Struthio camelus: one gene and its partner. The protein of the gene in region 2 interacts with the protein of the main gene of each other region in a pairwise test. Links are inferred from orthologs where the notes say so. Each region holds a gene or a part of one and is shown on either strand. Other genes may lie near its edges.

Region 1 (11,326 bases), on a different chromosome or scaffold from region 2:
CAGTTTCTCAGTGAGACTGTTCAGTTCACTAATCCAGCAAAAAGCTGTGAATAATTTTCTGCCAGTGTAACTAGCTCAGTCAGCTGGGAGCTTGGGAGAGGACCAAAGCCAACTGAAGGGCCATGTTGGAAGCGAATGGACTCCAGCAGGATTGCTCGTCTTGTCAGCAGCAAGCTATCAGATCACTGCTCTGGACAACTGCACCCGCACAAGCAGCTGTACTAGGACATCTCGGGGAGGCGCTAACCTGGGGGCAGCAGTGTTGGGAGCCACTGTGCCAAACCAACAAGAAGCCATTGCCTCAGTGCACTGCTCACATCCTGACAGTTCAGTATCACAAAATTCTGCTCAGTGTTTAAGAACAGTCTAAACTAGCAAATTATTTAAGAACAGTCTACACTATCAAACCATTCTGTCTCAAATTCCTCAAAGGACGAGTTAAGAACACACAGCGTCACTGCAAGGTGATAAAGCTGCATGAAACATTTACTAAGCCAATATTCATTTAAGCAGTCATCACTTAGCCCAGTCAAGAACAGCTATAATTTTATTTACAGAAGAACCCATTATCCATCCCCCCCCATCCTCTTCTGATGATCCTACAAGTCCTTTCCAGTCCTGTGCTCCCAAGTCCCAACTGTTGCTGTGTCCAATAAAAAGCTGATCATTGGCAAGCCTCCAAGGCAGTAAACAGGCTCAGATGTGAGCAGATGAGTACTCGCTCTCCCGATTTCAGCTCCTACCTGAATCTGAGAGGCATGCAGGTCCATGGTGATTATGTGATCTGCACCTGCCACAGACAGCATGTTCGCAACCAGCTTGGCAGAGATCGGGGCTCGACTCTAGTACAAGAAAAAACAGTGTTTAAGACAAGTTCAACTCCCTCATCAAGATGCCAGCCTTCTGCTTCTAGGCAATGATTCACAGGCAGTTACTAAAAGGAGCGCTCATTAACATTGCATCTTTTCATCAATGGGTGATTACAGCTTGGTATATTTTCAAGAACTAGATTTTAATGAAAAGACGATTTTCCAGTCCAATGCCCTGAGGTTTAAGAAGTTAAAGTCAGTCCTATCATCTCTTCTTCTACATATTCAGCTTCATCTAATCCCTAACCAGCAGCCAGGACTTTTGAGACATGCATTCATCTTCCCAACAGAAACCCTTACTGAAATCCTTACCTTGTCCTTTTTGTCCTGACGAGCATAGGGAAAGCAGGGTATGACAGCTGTCACTCTGCTGGCTGAGGCAATCTTACAGGCATTTATCATGATAAGGAGCTCCATCAGATTGTCATTGATTTCACCACAGCCACTCTGCACAATGTAGACATCTTCCCCACGTACGCTCTCACCTATTTCCACACTGGGAACAGATGGAGAAAGGAGAGTTGTGTCCAAACACAAATTAAACACAGCCATTACATATGCCTGCAGACCAACCAAGGCTGCAACTCATGGGACTGCAGTCCCAAGGCTCTGTGGGTGACAAGGCAATATAATCACGAGTGTTGAGCAGGAACACTGCTGCCTATTTGCTCAGTGACTATTTTTCATTGCTCACTGATCAGAGTTAATGGTTCAGTCAGCAAGGCTAAAAACACTCAACCTGTACTTTCAATCTCAACACAATCTGAGCGTGCACGCATCCTAGAAGAGTCCTTGTTTGCCCCACATCAGAAATTTATGCCCACCTCAGTTAAAAGCAGTGTATAAACGAAGCAAGCATGATGGCCAGACAGCAGAGAAAGCTGAGCCAAACTTCTAACAGAAGCTACACTGCAGCAGATTATTAAATTTAGAATCATAACAGCTATCGACAGCCTTGGACAGAGAGGCCCTCCAGCATTTTATTTTGGAAAGGCTTTGGGGGTTAATTTCCTTCTGGATGTAATGCACACTAATCCCTGCTGATGAAGGGACTGTGAATACAAGCCAAAGGTCCTGTTTGCCAGCAGCAAACTGCCAGCAAGCTTCAGTGCATGTGCTGAGGCACCTGCACCAAAAGCAGAGTTGACAAGAAAGCAGTAGTCTAAGGTTTGAGGCTTCACAGAGATGAGCGCTGCAAAAGGCCTTTTGTAGGAAAAAATTAACTACTCCTACTTCCAGCATTTCAATTTAGAGAAGCATGCCACAGATTTGGAAGTAACCAAAAGTCAGCCTACAGAGGACAGAGTTCCTCCATAGGTTCTCTCTTCTTGCCCTGGAGATGTTCACCTGCTCTGTAGACTGCTGCCATCTCGTTGAGCTATCTCTAGGAGCAAGGGGACAATCACCCAACACGCTCCTAATGGCTCCATTTTTATACACCCTTAGGGTAGATTTTTAATACTAGTATTTCATTCTGTCATCTCACTTCCCATCCTTCCTTAACATGTTTTTGATGACCACTACGCATTCACAGTCCTGCTGCTTAAGCTGCACCAGCAAGCTGCTGGTTCAGTCATTTTGCTGTCTGTCTTATACACTGGCTTTCAGCATACACCAATCCCTCGAGCAATATTTCAGAGAGCACGAGGACTTCCCAGTAGGGTAACTGTCTGACTTAACAGTTGTCAGCCTACAATTGTCATCAACTGTACCTACTAACGGTCAGAGCTTAATGAGAGCTCTCTGAGCCTTACAGCACAAAAACATCAAGTCAGCTGACTGATTGTTTTAACAATCTTGCTTCTTCAGGTAAATATTTGCCATCGGGTTATTAAGGTACATAGGATGTGTCAGGTCTTTAACAGTCACGCTACCTGCTGACATTAAGACCCTGACTAGCCAACTGGACAGGTAAGAGCCATGAGAACAGTGCAACAGCAACAGCTGTAGGTCACAGACAGACTCTTTTTACTGATTTCCTCTACAACGCTTTGTAGTACCTGTCAGGTTTTCAATTACAGCAGATACCCATGCAATGGAAACCTCTGTGACATTCTGCCTCACGTGTCTATCCTGAATTCTCAGGAGAAAAAAAAAAAAAACGATCTGTCTCCAGAATAAAGTGGTGGGTTGGCACAATCACGTAAGGTTCTGCAGGTTATGCTGAGGGAAAAAAAGCCATGCATACTGTACTTTGCTAGACCAGGCTCTAAGACCCCTGACTAACTTTTCAGCCTCTCCTGAGCATGACAGCAGCAAAGATCTATGAAGAACACACAGAGAAAACGAAGTAAACGTCAGGGGGAATACACCCGAGGCATCACTGCAGCCTCCTGCACCGCGCAGCGATGTCACCCAGCGCTTCAGGGTCCCGATGCTCTCCCGAGCGGCCTGACGGCACCGGCCACACCCCGCGGGCTGAGCGGCCCAGCCGCAAGTCACCGCAGCCTGCGGCTCGGCCCCACCATGGAAAAGGCTGATAAGGGCAGAGGCAGCGCAATCCCGGGGCCGCGTCCAGCCCCGGCGCTGGCTTCCCGGGCGGCGCGGCACGCACGACGGCGCCACACGCCCGCGTCGGCCGAGGCCGCTAAAGGCGATGAGAGCGGCAGCGCGGCCCAGCGCGGCTCCCCCGCCGCCGCCCCGCCGCGGGGTCTACCGCCTCTCCCACGCGGGACCCCGCTCCCCCGGGGCTCCCCGCCGAGGGGAAGCCCAATAAGGGCCGCTCCGCCCGCCGCCGCCCTGCCGGGCCCGGCAGCTGCCCCCGCCCCGGGAGGCCCCGCTCCGCCACGGCGGCGAGCTCCCCGCACTACAACTCCCGGCAGCCCCCGCGCGGCGCTGGCGCGGGCTCCACCGCGGCGGCGCCGCGCGGCCTGCTGGGAGTTGTAGTGCTCGGCTCCGCCCCCCCCTTCCTCCCTCCCGCTCCGCTCCCTCACCATGTCTCCTGGTTGCTGAACTTCTTGGTCACCACCTTGCCGAGCTCCAGGCCGAGGCGGTCGGCGATCTTCTGAGACAGGTCCTGGTGCGAGCTCCCGCTGAAGATCTTGATGTTAGGCATGACGGCGCAGGCGGCAGCGGAGGCTTTGGCCTCCTCCTCCCGCCTCACACCGTGGCCGGCTTGAGAGTTGGGATCCAGCCGCTTCCTCCGGCGGGGGAAACCCAGGCGCCTGTGGAGGGGCGGGGGGAAGCGCAAGACACGCCAACTCGCACCTACACCGCCATCTTACCTCTTCCCGCCAGCCGCGCGCCCCCTTTATAGACTCCCCGCCCCCGTGGCCACGCCTTTTCGCGCCTCCCATTGGCTCCTCGGGGCCTGGGGGCGGGGCCCGGCCGAGCGTCCCAATGGCGCGGAGGGTCTCCCTCCCGCCCCGCCCTTCGCCTAAACAGCAGCCCCCGGGGGGGAGGGGCGGAGGGAGGAGGGACGTGAGCGCGCACGGCCGCGCGTAACGCCCGCGGCCCAGGGCGCGCTCCTTATCCGCTACGGGGGGTGGGACGAGGGGCAGGAGGAGGTGGGCGATTGGCCGGCCCCTGGCCGCCTGGTCCGCTATTGGTCAGAGCGGCAGCGGCCGCAGCCGGAGCGGGCCGACGGCGCTGCCTCACGTGGCCTCGGAGAGGGGAGGGGGGGAGTTCCGTTGGCCGCGTGATTAGCAAGAGCCCCCCCCCCCCAACCCCCGCCCCGGCCGCCATGATGGGTGTCCCTGCCCGCCGCGGTGCCCCGCAGAGCGGGCGGCGGGGGCAGAAAACGGCCCCCTCTGACGCCGCCGGGCCCAGCCGAGGAGCCGCCTCACACACGCGCAGGGCCCGCTTACCTCAGCATGGCCCCGCCGGCGGCTGGGGCCCCGCCGGCCCCCCGGGCTGCGGCGCCTCGGGGCCGCCGGGCCTCCTGCCGTGTTCCTCCGTCGCCCGGGCTACGGCCGCCGGGCCGCGGCATGACGCTGTACTGGCGTCACCCTGCCGGGCGGCTGTGCCCTCATGTAGCGCTGTACTGGCATCACCTTGTCAGGCCACTGTGCCTTGTGTCACGCGGTACTGGCATCACCCTGCTGGGCTGCTGTGCCCTGTGCCACGCTGTACCGGCGTTGCCTTGCTGGGCTGCTGTGCCCAGGTGTCACACTGTAGTGGCGTCACCTCACCAGGCTGCTGTGCCTCCATGTCATGTTGTACTGGCACCACCTTGCCAGGTTGCTGTGTCCCCGTGTCATACTGTACCGGTGTCACCTTGCTGGGCCGCTGGGCCCCCCTGTAATGCTGTACCAGCATCACCACACCAGGCTGCTGTGCCACCCTGTAACACTGTACTGGTGTCACCTCACCAGGCTGCTGTACCGCCCTGTAACACTGTACTGGTGTCTCCTCACCAGGCTGCTCTGCCGCCCTGTAACACTGTACTGGTGTCACCTCACCAGGCTGCTCTGCCACCCTGTAACACTGTACTGGTGTCTCCTCACCAGGCTGCTCTGCCGCCCTGTAACACTGTACTGGTGTCACCTCACCAGGCTGCTCTGCCGCCCTGTAACACTGTACTGGTGTCTCCTCACCAGGCTGCTGTGCCGCCCTGTAACACTGTACTGGTGTCACCTCACCAGGCTGCTGTGCCGCCCTGTAACACTGTACTGGTGTCACCTCGCCAGGCTGCTCTGCCGCCCTGTAACAGTGTACTGGTGTCTCCTCACCAGGCTGCTGTGCCGCCCTGTAACACTGTACTGGTGTCACCTCACCAGGCTGCTGTACCGCCCTGTAACACTGTACTGGTGTCTCCTCACCAGGCTGCTCTGCCGCCCTGTAACAGTGTACTGGTGTCTCCTCACCAGGCTGCTCTGCCGCCCTGTAACAGTGTACTGGTGTCTCCTCACCAGGCTGCTCTGCCGCCCTGTAACACTGTACTGGTGTCTCCTCACCAGGCTGCTCTGCCACCCTGTAACACTGTACTGGTGTCTCCTCACCAGGCTGCTCTGCCACCCTGTAACACTGTACTGGTGTCTCCTCACCAGGCTGCTGTGCCGCCCTGTAACACTGTACTGGTGTCACCTCGCCAGGCTGCTGTGCCGCCCTGTAACACTGTACTGGTGTCTCCTCACCAGGCTGCTCTGCCACCCTGTAACACTGTACTGGTGTCACCTCGCCAGGCTGCTGTGCCGCCCTGTAACACTGTACTGGTGTCACCTCGCCAGGCTGCTGTGCCGCCCTGTAACACTGTACTGGTGTCTCCTCACCAGGCTGCTGTGCCGCCCTGTAACACTGTACTGGTGTCACCTCGCCAGGCTGCTGTGCCGCTCTGTAATGCTGTACCGGTGTCACCTCGCCAGGCTGCTGGGCCCCCGTGTCACACTGTACTGACATCACCTCACCGGGCTGCTGTGCCCCTCTGTTCATGCTGTACCGACGTCACCTTGCCAGGCTGCTGGGCCCCGTGTCACGCTGTACCGGTGTCACTCCGCCGAGCTGCAGCCCCTCAGCGTGACATACAGCTGGTACCCAGCCGGGCCGCTGTGCCGGCGTCCGCTCCGCGCGGCGCTGCCCCTGCCGTGCCCGCGCCGCAGGGAGCCAGCGCAGCCGGAGAGGGGGGAGTCGAGTCCCAGCACGCTTTTAATGCCGGAAGGATGATGCTTATCATCTTCGAGATGCGCCTTATTTTATTTTATTTTATTTTTTGCCTTGCCAATTTATCCTTCCTCGGCGGCAGACGTATTAATAACTGTTTTTCTTTCCTCTTTGCCTCGAAACAGGCTGCGCGCTCGCTCGCTTCTCCTTCGGCCGGATCACGACCCGCTCCCACGGCTAAGGGCCAACGGTGGCTTTATGTGGGAAGGGGCACCGACTCCTCACGTGCGGAGGGAGGCTCACTGCAAAACCCCCCAGACAAGAATACCCCCGAATCAATGTTTTTTGTTCTTCTCCTCAAAACTTTCAGCCATGCATGCTGCTAGTTATTTTTTCTGATGCAAATAGCCTTTGGCCACGTCTTGAGTTTGGAAAAATTATAGTAGTGGTGGATTTTCTGTACTGAAATACAGAGGTGTTTTTTTTTCTGTCTTTTGGCTCAATGTCAAAGCCCAAATGGCATTATTTTAACAGGCTGTTTAATTTCATTTCTGAGGGTTTGTTTTGTATGTATAATCAGGTATTTTTGTACCTAATTCGGTAATTAATCTCCTGTGAGCTTTCAGTCTGTATGTGATTAAATTACATATATTAATTTAGCTTTTGCTAAAATAAACAGTGTGGTTAAAGGGTTTTAATTATACAAAATAAAAACTAAGCCACAAACGGCTTCTTCAAGATATGCATGTGATCACGTAATTCTTACAAGTTTTACTTAGCTGGTTCATAGATAACAAACTTCTGCAACTGATGTAGCACTGATAAGTCTTTACTTTGAATTCGCGAGCATTTCACAGAAGAAATAACCTATAGCTCATTTAGCATGGCCACATTACCTCTTGCTGCAAATATTCTGGCCCCAAAGGCTACTGTTGCTACCCCAAAAGACTAATAAACGAATGATTGTACAGTTCTACTTTGAGGGGGTTTCCTCCAGCCCTTTGCAAGGTTTCGTTAAACTTGGAAACCAGCTGGACTAAAACAGATACTAATTCCCATGCTTAGAGCGGCTGCGGAAATGGCATATCGTATCGATGGTGATTTCCAGTATCCGGGTGTCAGCGCAGCGGCTTGTAAAAGGCTGTGACACACAGTAGCGGCAAAGAACGGGGAAGGAAGAACGCAGCCTTCTATTTCCAATTTCTTTCTAAACATTTCTCATTTTAATAATACAGGAAAAGCTTCTCTGTCAGATGGGGGCATCTCCCACATTTCTAGTAGCCACGCACCTGTAAATGTTTCATTCGTCCTTGTCCGGGTTGGTCCCAGCTGCAGCAAAGCCTGACCGGACCGTTCAGTCTGAATTAGCCTTTCTCACGCGTGAAAATGATTTTTCTCACGCGTGAAAATGATTTAAGCCCGCGTCAGAGCTGAGGGACAAAGACGGGATGCTGCTGGGAAAGGGATGTCAGCGACGTCCGGGTGCTCTGCGCCCGGCCGCAGCACCCCGGCTCTGCTGCTGTCAGCTCTTTACTTCCACATCTCCGCTAAACTCGTGTACTCTGGTGCCACAAACAAGCCGTTTTAGTGACTCCTCTACTTGTGCCCGAAAGACACCTAAAAAAAAAAAAATCCGACTTTCATTTCATGCTTCTGATGAGGTCCTTTTCCAGTTGACAGCAATTTTTTCTCCAACGATAGTTGGTGTTATTTGCGAGTTGGGATGTCTGGTAACAGCTGTTCGTTCCATACGTATTTTCCAGTGATTAAAGCTATATGCTCTAAAAATAACTTCAAGGCCTCTCCTCCCCACAAAACACAGGCTTACAGCAGGTTTGTGACTGCCATTGCAGTCTGAAGAATTTGGGGGCTGGATAACTTACTGCTAGTCCCTGAAATATTTGCTTCCGCTTCTGAATCACGTGTCCTAGTTTGAAGTCTACTTTTGCTCTTGGATGCAGAAGTGGTGTTTTCTGTGTCTGTGTTCCAACCTGAAACCAATACCCTGTCCCTTCCCAACCTAGCCACGAACCAGCCTCTGCGAAGCTGTGGATGAAGGCAGCAGAAAGTGTATTAAAATGTGCAAATTAAGCTTCTCATTTACAGGCTCTGTCTCAGAGCTTCCCCTGCGCAGCATTTGGGAAGTAGCGTTTCTATCTGTGTCCTCCTGGGATCGTGGAGGCGGGATTTGCAGGAGGGAAAAATTTAAGAAAAGATAAAATTAGGTCGTTAATCCTGTAAGCCGGGGCCAGGCAAAGTTTCATGGGCAGTATGAAAGACTTCTTTTTTCCCCCTTCTCAAGCTAGAGGTCAAACATCCTTGCAGGAGCCTCCATGAAGCAGCAGATATTGCTCTCCAGGAGGCCAGATGCTGCGGAGCCGCTGGTGGGCGAAACCTTTCCCTCCAAGGCGAAGCGCAAAGCCGCAGGGGCCGGGGGGCTGCGCGCCGTGGCCGCTCTCAGAGGCATCGCCCTGCTGCCTTAGCCGATGGGCACAAAGGCAATACAGGAAAAGTCTCCAGTGCCCCTCAGCATTTTCGTTTCCAGAACGTCTTTGCCACGGTTAGACCACGCTTTGAGGATAAGGACAAAAGTCCACCTGCCTTAATGATTTATTGCTATCGTTAGTGAAGCTCTTACGGCAGGATCATCTCAGGGGTTTTATTGAAGAAAAGCTTTTAATCAATATGCAACAACGTCTGAGTCAAACACATCCAAAAAGCTTGCTCATGAGCTTTCCCCAGCAACTGCTTGCCTATTGACAACTTGCATTTCCACTTACCATATGAGTAGGGACAAGGAGAGGCAGCTTTGAAGAGGGAGATGTTTCTCTGGTTCCGGATGAAGGGAGAGACTGTGTGGTTGAAAACCTGTTAATCCAGGTTGTCTGTCGAATTAACTCGAGGTTGGCCGGGAGCTGGACTGAGCTGGTACCTTAACTCCTGCGCGGACACTGGGAGTCGAAGCATCTCATTCAGTTTGGCTTGCTTCCTTTTGAAAGCCCACTGGGATAAATTGCATTGTGTGCTCCCAGGCGAAGCAATTCGATTTAATTGTCCCGAATCGTGTCGTGTGGGCAAGCGCTAGTTCATTTGGGTACTGGAAAGAACTAGCCTGTAGTTTGAGCTGCTGGGCTCTCTCATGATTTGGGAATTAAGAAATAAATTAATGTCCACCTCAGGACATTCATGTACCTGCAAGTGCATGAATGGCAAACCTCCCTTTTTATTTATCTGATTCTACGGAGGTTCATTTAATCAGAAATGCCTTTGTGTTGCATGGCCTGAGAATATATTTTCCAGGAAGTTTTAAGTAGCACATTAACTCTATCAAACTGCATAGTGATGTCAAGACAAGTAGCTTTTTTTGGTCTCTTGGCACATTCCTACATACAATTGCCACTCAGTTACCGCCAGTCGCTTAATCAAGGACCTGTTTTCATGCAGAAAGCCTGTTGCTGAGAGCTTTCTTCTTTCTGTTTGCCTTGTGATGGCAATGGCTTGTGGTAGACCGGTCCTGTTAATGAGTGGCACTTGATATGGATAGCACAACTCTTTTGCCCTTTAGATGCGTGAATTCACAACGTTGCCTTTGTGGCTTAGGGGCTAGCTCCAGTCTTAGGCCGGTCTGGATTTTACTTTTACTTTCCAGTGCTCTCACTTAACAGTTTTGAAAACGGAGGGTTTTTTTTTTTCCTGTGGCCGCAGTGGAAACACTAACCGTGAGCCCTGGAAGCATTTTCAGTGGCTGCTTGTTTTCCGTCAGCTTCTCTGCCTCTATCCTTTTCTTCACGGGGATTATTTTTAGATAAATCCCGCTCTCTGCTACTATCAAAACCACGAGGATCAAACAAGAAATGTCTTGCTTCCAGATCTTCACTGAGTCCATTACAACACCCTCTCCTTTCCTTTGAGGAGAAAAAAAAAGTCCCTTAACCATAGTCCCTTAAGCCGTTGCTTTGAGACGAGCTGTATTTAGGAACGGGGCTCACCCGTATTCTGCTTGGTGGCAGCGGTGTAAGCGCAAACACAGTTACTTAACGCTGGACACAGCTAAACCGGAGCGCGTTCCCCACCTGTCAGGAAGACGACTACACTGCGGGAAATAAATGCTGTTTTCAAGCCTCCGTTAGAAACGGGGGTAAGAATTAAAAGCTCTTCGAAGACTTGTGCCCAGTCACCGGCCGCCTCGCTGGCTGCTAATGCACCGAAAGGGAATTACGTAGCCTTTGGAAAGCGCTTTCCCATCACGTGCGCTGTCTGCTTTCATGTGCACTGAATAAGGGTGGGAAATCTAAATAAGCTGGGAGAGCTGTCTCTCCCGGCGGACCTTTCCGCTGGGGAAGCCCCAAGGCGCCGCATGCTTTGCTGCAGCCGGCCGGGGGGACGACGGCGTCGAGCTGCAGGACGACGAGATGGGAACGACGTGGCCTCCAGGTAGCTTAACCAGACGGGCGCTGAAAAGGGAGCTGGAGCCGGGAAAACATAATTTATTTCTCATTCTCTACGCCGTGTAACTGAGACGGAGCTTTTTTTAAAAAATCCGACGTTCAGCAACCGTAAACTAGAGAATTTTGCTTGGGTCGTTTCCTGCAACAGCATTTACACGTGCCTAACGCAGCGAGGCCCCAGGACAGCACCTAAAACATTGGTATGGCAGTAGTCAGGGCAGGGATTCATCTTTCTTTGGTACGTACTAGTATAGCTCCTCCTTTCAAACAGGGGCATCTGACTGTCTCTGGGGCACATACCGCCACTGCAGTACAAATAATAACGTGTTACAAGGAAATAATCCCTTCTGCAGGATGCTGATTGCCCACTAGATGGTACTAAGGGAGCTCACAAAAAAAAAAAAAAACAAAAAAAACAACCCTCTGCAGTCGCTCATTAAACTGCCTGCTGTCAATAGTATTTTCAGGCTC
Region 2 (10,211 bases):
TAAGAGGAATTCTTCTTAGGGAACAAGTTTCAAAAGTTCCAAGTTTTCCTAAAACCGGGATGCGTGTACGACCACAAGTAATACCTGAAAGCAAAAGAAATCCTTTAAAATTATGGGACATAAGTTTTTCTTTCCACTGACCAAACACGTTCGCCGAGTAAGAAGTCGCAGATATGAAAATAAAAAGCTAATTACATGAACTAATACACCGCAGTGAAATTTTTGCTGACACTACAGTCAAATAACAGAACTACCTCGTTAGCATTCGACCAAGATACATGCATTCAAAATATAGTCACGAGCAAAATATAGTCACAGCTCCAATATACTGTTTTATATTCTTTCATTCAACTCTTTAGGAACACCACTGAAGCAAAAACAGTGTTTTCCATAGGTGTAATCTGTTCAAAATGTAATATATATGTATACCTTAAATAAGCAATTTTGGATGTGTTGATTAAAAATAATCTGTTTCTAATCCTAACGACATCAAATCCCAGAATTGATTTAGATTAGATGGAAATCAAAGGTTTCAGCAACAGAATTCAACTTTGAATAATCAAATTTCAGTTATTCAAAAATAAGTGCATGTAATCACCTTAATGTTTACCACATTAACAATTGCTTGGATAATCTACAAATGACCCAGAAGTATCCCTTGTCTTCTAACTTCAGGCAGTTCAGAGTTCCATTGCATCACAAACAAACCACATCCCATTCATGAAGCTGGTCCTCAGAACACAATAGCCTCTAGCACATATTTGAAAAGTAAAAAAGACAGACTTTCAAAGTGTCTCCTCATTATACAAACATTTTCATAGAAGTGTCTCGGAGACCGTGGACCACATATGCAGATTTGGATTTTTCATTTGGCATATGCTGACCTTTTATAGACAGACAGATTAATTTAATACAATCTTAATTTTGTTGAAATAGCTTAACTCCAACATGAAAAAAATTCATTGGGGAACTGAATGATCCTTTCCTCCTTTTGCAACAACTTGTAAGGTTATATTTCATGACTAGGCATGACACAAACCAACCTTTATCATTTTCATGCCCATGATTTCAGAATCTTTCAACACAAAGAAATAAACATCTGGAATCCAGATCTTAAATTTCTCTTCTGCTTAAACTAGGCAATTCCTCTACATATCTGGTAATAATTCTGTGACTGTTATCAATGGGAAAAGCTATATAGCAACATCATAACCTTAACCCTAATTCACGTTTTCTACTCTATTAAAAAAAAAAAAATTCTCTCTTTTTTTTTTTGTTAACAGAAGATGAAAATGTTTTCTAAAATAAAATGCAATCTATATGAATGGAAAATGAAGTACAGTCCATTTGCTCTGAGAAAGCTATAAAATGACCAGAACTAACTCCTCATAACATTGATTTAACTCAATTCATCATTTATTAAGCACCATCAATTTTAACATATTTTCAAATTAATGTTTTTTATCATAACCCTACATTAATAAAACGTATATGCAACTTTGTTATCCAAATAATCTGAAGGCTAAGCAGACAATTCTCCAAAGAGCTAAGCCAATGCTCTGTAAAACATTTGTAAAAATAATAAAAAAAATTTTTTAATAACTTAACTGAAACTCTTTTGAATTACAATTAAGACTTGGAATCTTAAAGAAAAGAGGGAGACTTAAAGTTCCTCTTAATTATACTGTATTATATTACTATAATGCAAGAATAGAAAAATATAGGGAAAAAAAGCATTAAGGGCCAGCCTAATTTTACAGGGAAAACTTCTGTAGACCTCCACAAACTTACAACCAAGAACACTGAATCAAATGAAATTTGTTTTATCAAAATATATGCTACCTAAGATATTTGAAATTAAAGGTGATTTTAAGATATTCTTAGCACTAAAAATACAATTTATTAAAATTATAATAGCGTTATTTATGTCTGTAAAACACTGAAGGAGGACTAAAGATCTGCTGCGTGTCACTGCAACACAGAAAAACACCTCACGCTCCACGGGACAAAACTATGAAAATATATACAAATTGCTAAATACCCTCAGTTAAATAGAAAAATATTGGTTCACTTTCACAAGCAGAATAGGGATTAGTTACAGCAACAGAAGAGAGTTTAAGTCAGTTGTGTCCTTTTGACTGAATATGCACAGAGAACTCTGAAAATCAAGAGTGCTAAGTGTACCTTTCAGTAGAGAATAAACTGGGCTGAGCGTTTATCACCTAACAGCTATTAATAAAACAAAACAAGAAACCCCTCCAAAACACACACAAAACCAAAAGACCCCCTCCTCCCTCGACGACCAAAAAACCTAGCTGCATACAACTCTCCTGCAATAGCTTCTCACCCCAGAGAACTGCCTAGGGAGAAAGGCCCAAATACCAATGCAGAGACTGGTCAAACATTTTACCACCAAACACCGCAAAAGGACTAAAGATCATCAGTTTTAAATCAGAGTGCCATTGTGACACAGAAAAGACACATTAAACTATACTGAATAAACTATGAAGCAATACACAAAGTGTCAAGCGCTGAGCTGATACGTGCCACATTTCCTGCTATGCCAATCTACGACCAGAGACATCGCAGCTGTGGGACTGCAGCTTCGGTGTTAGCAGCAGATGTTGCCCAATCAGCACCATTACACCCACTGCGAGCCTGGTAGGAGCCTACTGTTGAAAGAACAATTTGAGCATGATAACTTTCTTTAAAAAACACATGCTCCTCTTTCTCTCACGATGGTCTTAGTTGGTCGGCCATTAGGGTATAATGTTAAACTTACCTTGCCAGTCACACTGAATTGTGAAGGCTGTAAATAGGCTAAACATAACAGTAACATAATTTTTTTCCTATCAGCTTGACGCACAGGGACAAGACTTTCCATGTTTAGCCCATCTACAGGTCTGAATGATATTTTTGACAAAACGTCACTGTACAATTAAATAATGAAATAGGAATAAAGTTATCACAACTACTTACTTCCATAAACACAAACAAGCATAGAAACAAATTGTCAAAAACAATCAACATTCCAGTCCAACGCCTAGCGATTTCCACAGATACTCTGATAAACATTCAAACATGTAACAACTGGCTGGCACAGCAATACTCTCAGATATACCACTGACGGTTAGGTCTTTTTTTGTTTTATTTTTTAATGGAAAGCAAATTTTTCCCAAACACAAACAAATGAAAACAGTAAATCTAAAGAGCGAGCACCAAACATATGAATATTGACAGCAGCAACAGCACCTCTCTGGGGTGTTCAGAGGAGCAGGTTATGAAATAGTTGGAGACTCCTTTACACTTTATTATTTTTTAGTTCACAGATGAATACCATAAGAAATACCAACTTTTGGGTCAAGTCCTCAAATATTTTTAAAGAGCCTACCACCTAAGGTACTCACAGGGAGACTGACAACAAAAGTCTCATCTCTGTCCCAGAAAACACCCTATCTAGTAGGCCAATCCATACACCCTGCATACTCTCAAGTTTGTACTAACTACAGTCAACCTCAGAGTAATACCAAACTTAACTACCTGGCACAGCAGATACAGTGACAACCACCAAAATAAGATTTTAAAAAACTTTCATAGAAAGTTGATGCATAAATAATTTTACTATTCTATACCTGCGTTTTAGTCTCATTTGCCCTTTTACGTGCCAGTTTTGACAAAAGAAAAATATTGATTGTTATCTTTATAAAAATAACAATTCTGAAGCAAATCCAGAACGTTATCTGTTTTAAAGTTTATTGTTTCAGTGGGTTTGCACGAGGCCAGGCAGGCTGGAGTTGGAAGTACTGGCTTAACCCTGTCAGCACGGGTCATGCTGGAGATGTGGCTGCGAACACAACTGCAATGAGTTAACTTACCTCACGAAGTTAAAGAGTCTTCTCTGACTCATTCAGCTATGGCTGAGAGTATCATTTTTCAAAAAAAAAAAAAGAAATGCTGGAAATGTGGCAGCAGCAGAGATTTTCAGCACAGTCTGAGGACTGTTTGCCTTTCAGTCAAAGCAGCATAGAGTATCTCGCACTTAAGACGGACAAGAACATCCCGAAAAGACGCAAAACCAAGAAAAAGTAACATTCCCCCTCCACTGCAGCCTCCAGTAACTATTTTGCCCCGCGCCACTTTCTTAATAACTCGGAAAACAGTTATGTTTCGCTAGCTGAGCACGAGCCCTCACGAGGAACACCCCAAGCTGCAAGAAGCACAGGATTTGTACCAGTCGGTTAATAAAGCGCATTTAAAGGCACAAGCAGCATTGCGCAATCAGCGCTGCAAATCGCCCCCTTTCCGCGAAACCCTCTTTTCGCCACCCCGGCGAACGCCAGCGGGGTAAAGGCGTCCAAGCCGCGGGACCCCCACCTTCGCCACCCGCGGCTGGGAAAATAAAACAAACGCAAGCAGGAGGGGAGGGCGGCGGGGGCCCTCACGGCGGCCCGGCCCGGCGCTGGGGGGAGCGGCGGCCGCAGGCCCCGCGGCGGTGACAGCGACGCGGCCTCCCCTCAGGGAGGCGGCGGGAAGGCGACACCCCCCCTCCTCCCCCTCCCCCGGCCCAACGGCCGCCAGGCCCGCGCGGAGGGCGGTTACCTCTGCGCGCGGAGGGCAGCGTGGAGCCCAGGAGGCGCGCGGCCGCGGCGCAGCTGTGGCAGGCGGACATGGCGCGGCGGCGGCGGCGGCGGCAACGGGCCCGGCCCGGCCCGCTCCCCCCCCCGCCCCCCCCCGCACCGCGCCTGGCGCCGCCGACTAGGCCTCGGTAGCGGCGGCGGCACTGCGCGCGCGCGCGCGCCCCCGCCGTAAACACCCCCTCCCCTGCCCTCCTCCTCCACCGCCCGGCACCGCCTACACTGACGCCAGGGCCGGGCTGGCTTCACCGCGCCCCTCCCATCCCTTCGCCGACTACCGCTCCCAGCAGGCAGCGCGCGCGGCGCCTCGCCCGCCACCGCCCCAGCCGCCGCGCGCTGCCTCCTGGGAGATGCAGTCCCGCGGGTCAGGGAGCTCTGAGCATGCGCCGGCAAAGTGCATCACGGGAAGTGTAGTCCAGGCGTGCGGCCGCGGGGCGCGGCGGCGGCCTCGCCTCCCGCACACAAACGTCAGGAGATTCCTGCCTCTAACTCCAAAATTCCAGATTTTCTTCCCAGCAGCTGTGACGTGCGTTCGTTTCTACGCAGCGTTATTCCCATATCTGTATAGCCTCGGACTCCCCCGTAGGAGGACATAAAGGCCACGCTCCAGGCCGCGTTATCCTTAATTCCTAAAGCGCTCGTAGACCGGTACGGCTCATCAGGAGAACAAAAATTAATCGGAGACCTCAGCAAGCCCCCGCACTCGCTGCGCAGCTCTCGCCCTGCGTTGCTCCAGGGAAACGTTCAAAGCGAAGGCCGACTCCTCCGCACGTGCAACTCCCGAGGCAGGATTTGGGAGACGCAAAGCCCGGTGAAAACCCGCCCGGCGGGGACTGAACACGCGTCTGCTGGGAGGAGGGGAACTTCTCAAACGTGAAACATTTATTATCTGCTTCCAGATTTTAAACACAAGGTAGTATGCGGGAAACACTTCCCATCGACCTCCAAAATAATAAAAACAGCCTTTCACAAGCAGCAAACTTGAAACAGCAACGGAAAACACGAGGCAAATTAGAACAACTTTGGCAGAAAGATGAAAACGAAGCCTCCTGTCCTGGGGTGATCTCCAGTCAGATCAGCGATCACAAAAACGCGTAGAAGCCAAGCAACGAAAACGCATCCTTTAGACAACGCGCCTGCCGCTGGCAGGGACCTGTGGGTGTTTCTGTCTTTCCGCCCTCCTTCAGCTTTCATCTGCCACACACTGATCAAGTGCAGCTCATTGATCCCAGCTGCCTTTCTGAGTAACAGCTCAGAGATGAGAATGCATTACCTGATGGTCTCGCCTACAAACCTGAGCTGCCGCACAGCGAACGCCATTAGACCACGCTAACAGCGGAGATTACACTCTGTACTGCTTGCCTGCGTGTAACAGTATGAATATCGAATGCCATTTTTCATTTCTGCCAAGGTCTGGATGGATTTTAATCCTTGCGAAGTACAGGTTTAACAGCACCACCTGCAGCCAGCACCACCTACTGCCAGGCAACCGCCAACCCCACTTTAATCTGTATTCAATCCACCACCGATTCCTTTCGGGAACTTTTTTTTTTTTTTTGGAGAGAATCAGAGAGGAATAGCAGATTGGAAGGACGTACTGAAAGGCATCGATAAAAGTTATTTATCCTGCAATCACAAATTACGAAAGCCTGGAGAGAGCAACAGCGTCGTCTTGGACAGGGGTTTGCGTGCTGCTGTGAACCAAGGTTTGTCACCGGCTGCCTCGTGCGTTCGGGTGGCCGACAGCAGCAGGCTGGTTATCTCAGTCAGCCCCGGAGCTTCCTCTCAAACGGGAACGGCGTGCTGAAAACAAACCGGTAAAACGCTGCTGATGAAACAGGAGTCGAACTGACGATTTCCTCAGCTTTAGCTGCAGGAGCCTCTTTGCCGCGAGCGGCAGGCAGCGCGGTCGCGCCACCTGACGCAACCGCACGCAACTCCCTTCCACCGATTATTTGAACCCGACGTCTTTTGGCCAAACGGCAACGCCGAAGGTAAAGCGCCCCCTCCCACGGCAGGCGTGAGAGCTGGTCCCCTGGACGTTTTCCCCCTTTTACCTAAAAAAAAAAAAAACAACAAAAAAAATCTTTTTTTCACCCAGGGTCGCCCTGGCTTCAGCCGCAGCTGCCTCCACGGGGTTGCTCCCCGCCAGGGCCCCGAGGGCTCACCGAGGGTCACGGCCCCGTCTCGGCCATAACCTTGAATTTAGCTGTTCCAAAACACGTTTTGTTTGAACGGGCCCAGCCGACCCAAAGGTCCGGGTTTTGCATTGGAGGAACGAGCACCCCGTTAACAACCGCACCAGGGAGCTGGGTAAAACAGGCTCGGTTAAAGTAAGACCCTGAGTTGAAAACAGACCTTTTCACTCACTGGTACTTTTACTTAAATCAATGGGATTTCTCACATATATTTAAAAAAATAAGTCAAATTAAATTAAATCGCCTCCACTGGATGGCAGCAACCCTTGGCACGTAGCCCTCTGCCAAGCAGGGCGGAGCGGCACAACGGCGGGGCCGGGGCGGGGGAGCGGACGCGGCGGCTCCCTCGACGGCCATGGCGGCTTCCCCCACCGGCCCCCCGCAGGAGGGATCACGTGACCCTCCCTTCTGCCTCGATAACAATGGCGCCTCGGCCCGCTTCTTCCGCCTCGGCAGCTATGGCAGCTGGCCGTCTTCCGCCCCGCCCTTGCGCCTCCCCGCCGTCACGTGGCGCGTGACGCCGCACCCGGAAGTAGCGGCGGGCGCCGCCGCTGGGGTGCGCCGGGGGAGGCGGAGCGGGAGAGCCAGGCCCCGGCACCCCCCCCCCCCCTCCCCGCCGGTACCGGGGGTCCCGCGGAGCCGGTAAGGGCGCAGCGGGCCGTGAAGGTGGGGGCTCGTCGTCGCGGGAGCCAGGCTGTCCCTCTCTTCGGAGCCTCCCTGCTCGGGGCTGAGTGGGCTGTGAGGGACCGGGGGGGGCTCGAGGTGGTGTCGGGGGGGCTGAGGGAGCTCTGGGGGGGGGAGTGTGGGGCTGAGGGGGGCTCGAAGGGCTGAGAGGGGCTCGGGGGGGGTGTGGGGCTGAGGGGGGGGGTCCCTAAGGTGCTGAGAGGGGCTCCGGGAAGGGGCTGAGGGGGGTCCCTAAGGGGCTGTGGGGGACTCTTGGGGGGGGGAGTGGGGCTGAGAGGGGCTCCCCAAGGGGCTGAGGGGGACTCTTGGGGGGGGGGAGTGGGGCTGAGGGGGGCTCCCCAAGGGGCTGAGGGGGACTCTTGGGGGGGGGGAGTGGGGCTGAGGGGGGCTCCCCAAGGGGCTGAGGGGCGGGTCCCTGGGGGGCTGAGGGGGGATCCGAGTGGGCTGTCGGGCTTAGGGGGGGGTCTCTGAGGGGGGCTCTGGGGTGGGCTGTTGGGTCGAGGGGGGCTCTGGGGGGGGTTCCTGAGGGGCTGGAGGGGCTCCAGGAGGGCTGTTGGGCTGAGGGGGGCCCCTGAGGGGCTCCGGGAGGGCTGTTGGGCTCTGGTGGGGATGCACTGAGGGGATCTGGGGGGCCTGAGCAGCTGGGGGGGGGTGTATGGCTGAGGGGCTAGGGGAGCTTTGGAGGGACTGTTGGACTGAGGGGGGCCCCAAGGGGCTGGTGGGGCTCTGGGGGAGGCTATCAGGCTGGAAGGGGCCCTCAGGGGGAGGTGTTTGGCTGTGGGGGTCTCTGAGGGGGATGTATGGCTGAGGAGGGCCCTGAGAGGTTGGGGGGGGGCTCTGGGGGAGGGGGATGTTGGGCTGGGGGGGGGGGGAGAGTTGGACTGGAGGGTCCTGCAGGGGGCTCAGGGGCTGTTGGCTAAGGGAAGTGCTGGGGCAATGGGGGAGCTCCAGGGGTGATGACTAAGGAGGGCCTTGAGGGGCCAGGGAGGCTCTGGGAGGGGTGATGGCAGAGGGGGGTCCTTGGAGGCTTGGGGGAGGGGGAATGGGGCTGAGAGGGGTCTTGAGGGGCTGGGAGGCTTGGGGGGGGGGGTTGGGCTGAGAGGGGGGGCTTTAGCTCAGGGGAGTCTTGAGGGACCAGGGGGACCCTGAGACAGAGTTACTGTAGGCCGGGGGGCCTCCAGGGCGGCATCATCCCACGTTCAGAGGGACTGGGCTGCGGGCGCTCCAGGGTGGCACTCCTCTGGGCTGGAGGAGGTCTGAGGGGCTGGGGGCAGCGCTGCCCCCGGGCTGGGGCTTCGTGGCCCCTGCGGCTCAGCCCTGCAAGGAGCCCCAGGCCCTTCCCTGGGGGTTCATCTTCTGGGGGGGCTCGGGCAGGGTGGGGGCTGCCTCAGCCTGCGCTGCAGCGGATGCAGGATGCTGAGCGGGTTTGTGCCCCGCTTTCCCAAAGCAGGGCAGGGTGACCCAGTGCTCCGGGGAAGGGCGGGCCGGGGTCAGTATTGGGGCACCCGGGAGCAGCACAGTGCGGGGAGCGGTGAGCGAGAGGGGAGGAAGGTGCCTGCCGCTGTGTCCCGAGGGTCCGTAACTCCATGTTCTCCCCCGCTGTCTTCGCCTGGCGTTCGTGAAGTACTCGCAGCCGCAGCAGCTCCCCTGCCTCTCCCGGCGTTCGCGTCCCGTCGCGACGAGGCGCTCGGTGCTGCTGCTGCTGATTCAGGTCTCTTGGCCCATGGGAGCGGGCGCCGCATGGCCAGTGTCGCAGAGAGCAGCCGAGCGGCGGCCTGGCTCGCGCCGACCCAGCGCTGGGGAGAGCAGCAAGTCGCCGCGCTTCTAATCCGCTCTGGCATGTTTTTCCTCTCTAGTGGCAGGATCAAAATCTTTCTAGATCAGTAATGAATGGAAAGCGTTACTAGTGTAGCGTGAATAACTCACAGGAATATTATCAACTGCTTTGGAGTGCAGCTAATAGGATGTACATTCATAGGTAATACTACTTCAGAGGAATTCTCTTTAAGAATATAGAGTCCTTTAGTTTCGTTTTTCTTGAAAAATGAAACCCAAGTGGCTTGGTTATGAACAGCATCAGGTTCTTGGTGATTTGAGCTACCTTTGTTGGTGGATTTCCTGGTTCAAGTTAATTGTTTAGCTTTTCTGTAGCTGGAAAAACACACAGTCATTGTTGACACAGGTATTTGTGTGTGAATGTGTTGTGCTTCTGTGCCCAGGAAAATGATTTCAGTGACAGGACAACTGACTCAAGCAAAAAAGTCCATATTTTTCTAATATTTTAAGAAAAATAGTTTACCCTTGCTTTAAAAGGGGGAACAGTTCTGCTGCCTCTGATGCTCCTTTACAAGAAAGGAGCTGGGGGAAATTGGTCCAGTCCCTGGTGGGTAACTGTTCGCTTTCACAAAGTGGCTTACAGCTAGAAGGTCCCCATTCATCTGTTAACAAAGTTAAGTGCCAGCCCCCAAAATAGCTTAACGGTGCTGAAAGAATGAGACAGCAAAAGAGGAGAGGTGATCCTGGTTGGACTAGGACCCCCTGTGACAACCAGAACTGTTAGCGTCGAGTCTTTCTGTTGCGTATCTGTGTTCATGCAGTGCCTCCTGTAATGAGGCCCTGATCATGACTTGTGCTTCTTGACCCTGCTATAATATAATATTCAAAGAGAAAATGTCGTGTTGAGGCATTTGCTGTA

What was found.
Region 1: the proteins of SPG21 (region 2) and ribose-phosphate pyrophosphokinase 1 interact in binary tests that used the Homo sapiens proteins (3 or more experiments, as listed by UniProt). The two-hybrid records come from large-scale screens. The link is inferred for Struthio camelus from reciprocal best matches to the Homo sapiens genes SPG21 and PRPS1.

Annotation. Positions count from the first base shown.
Region 1 is NC_090952.1:26,178,459-26,189,784, forward strand, and holds the start of ribose-phosphate pyrophosphokinase 1, read right to left. Parts: upstream 4,312-11,326; 5' UTR 3,925-4,311; coding exon 3,803-3,924; intron 1,366-3,802; coding exon 1,182-1,365; intron 843-1,181; coding exon 744-842; intron 1-743. UniProt on the Homo sapiens protein: Catalyzes the synthesis of phosphoribosylpyrophosphate (PRPP) that is essential for nucleotide synthesis.
Region 2 is NC_090953.1:4,122,066-4,132,276, forward strand, and holds the start of SPG21 (maspardin), read left to right. Parts: upstream 1-5,049; 5' UTR 5,050-6,628; intron 6,629-7,344; exon of another isoform or gene 7,345-7,525; intron 7,526-9,140; exon of another isoform or gene 9,141-9,227; intron 9,228-9,372; exon of another isoform or gene 9,373-9,494; intron 9,495-9,627; exon of another isoform or gene 9,628-10,211. Other genes in the region: CLPX (ATP-dependent Clp protease ATP-binding subunit clpX-like, mitochondrial), read right to left, coding at 1-84, 4,600-4,669. UniProt on the Homo sapiens protein: May play a role as a negative regulatory factor in CD4-dependent T-cell activation.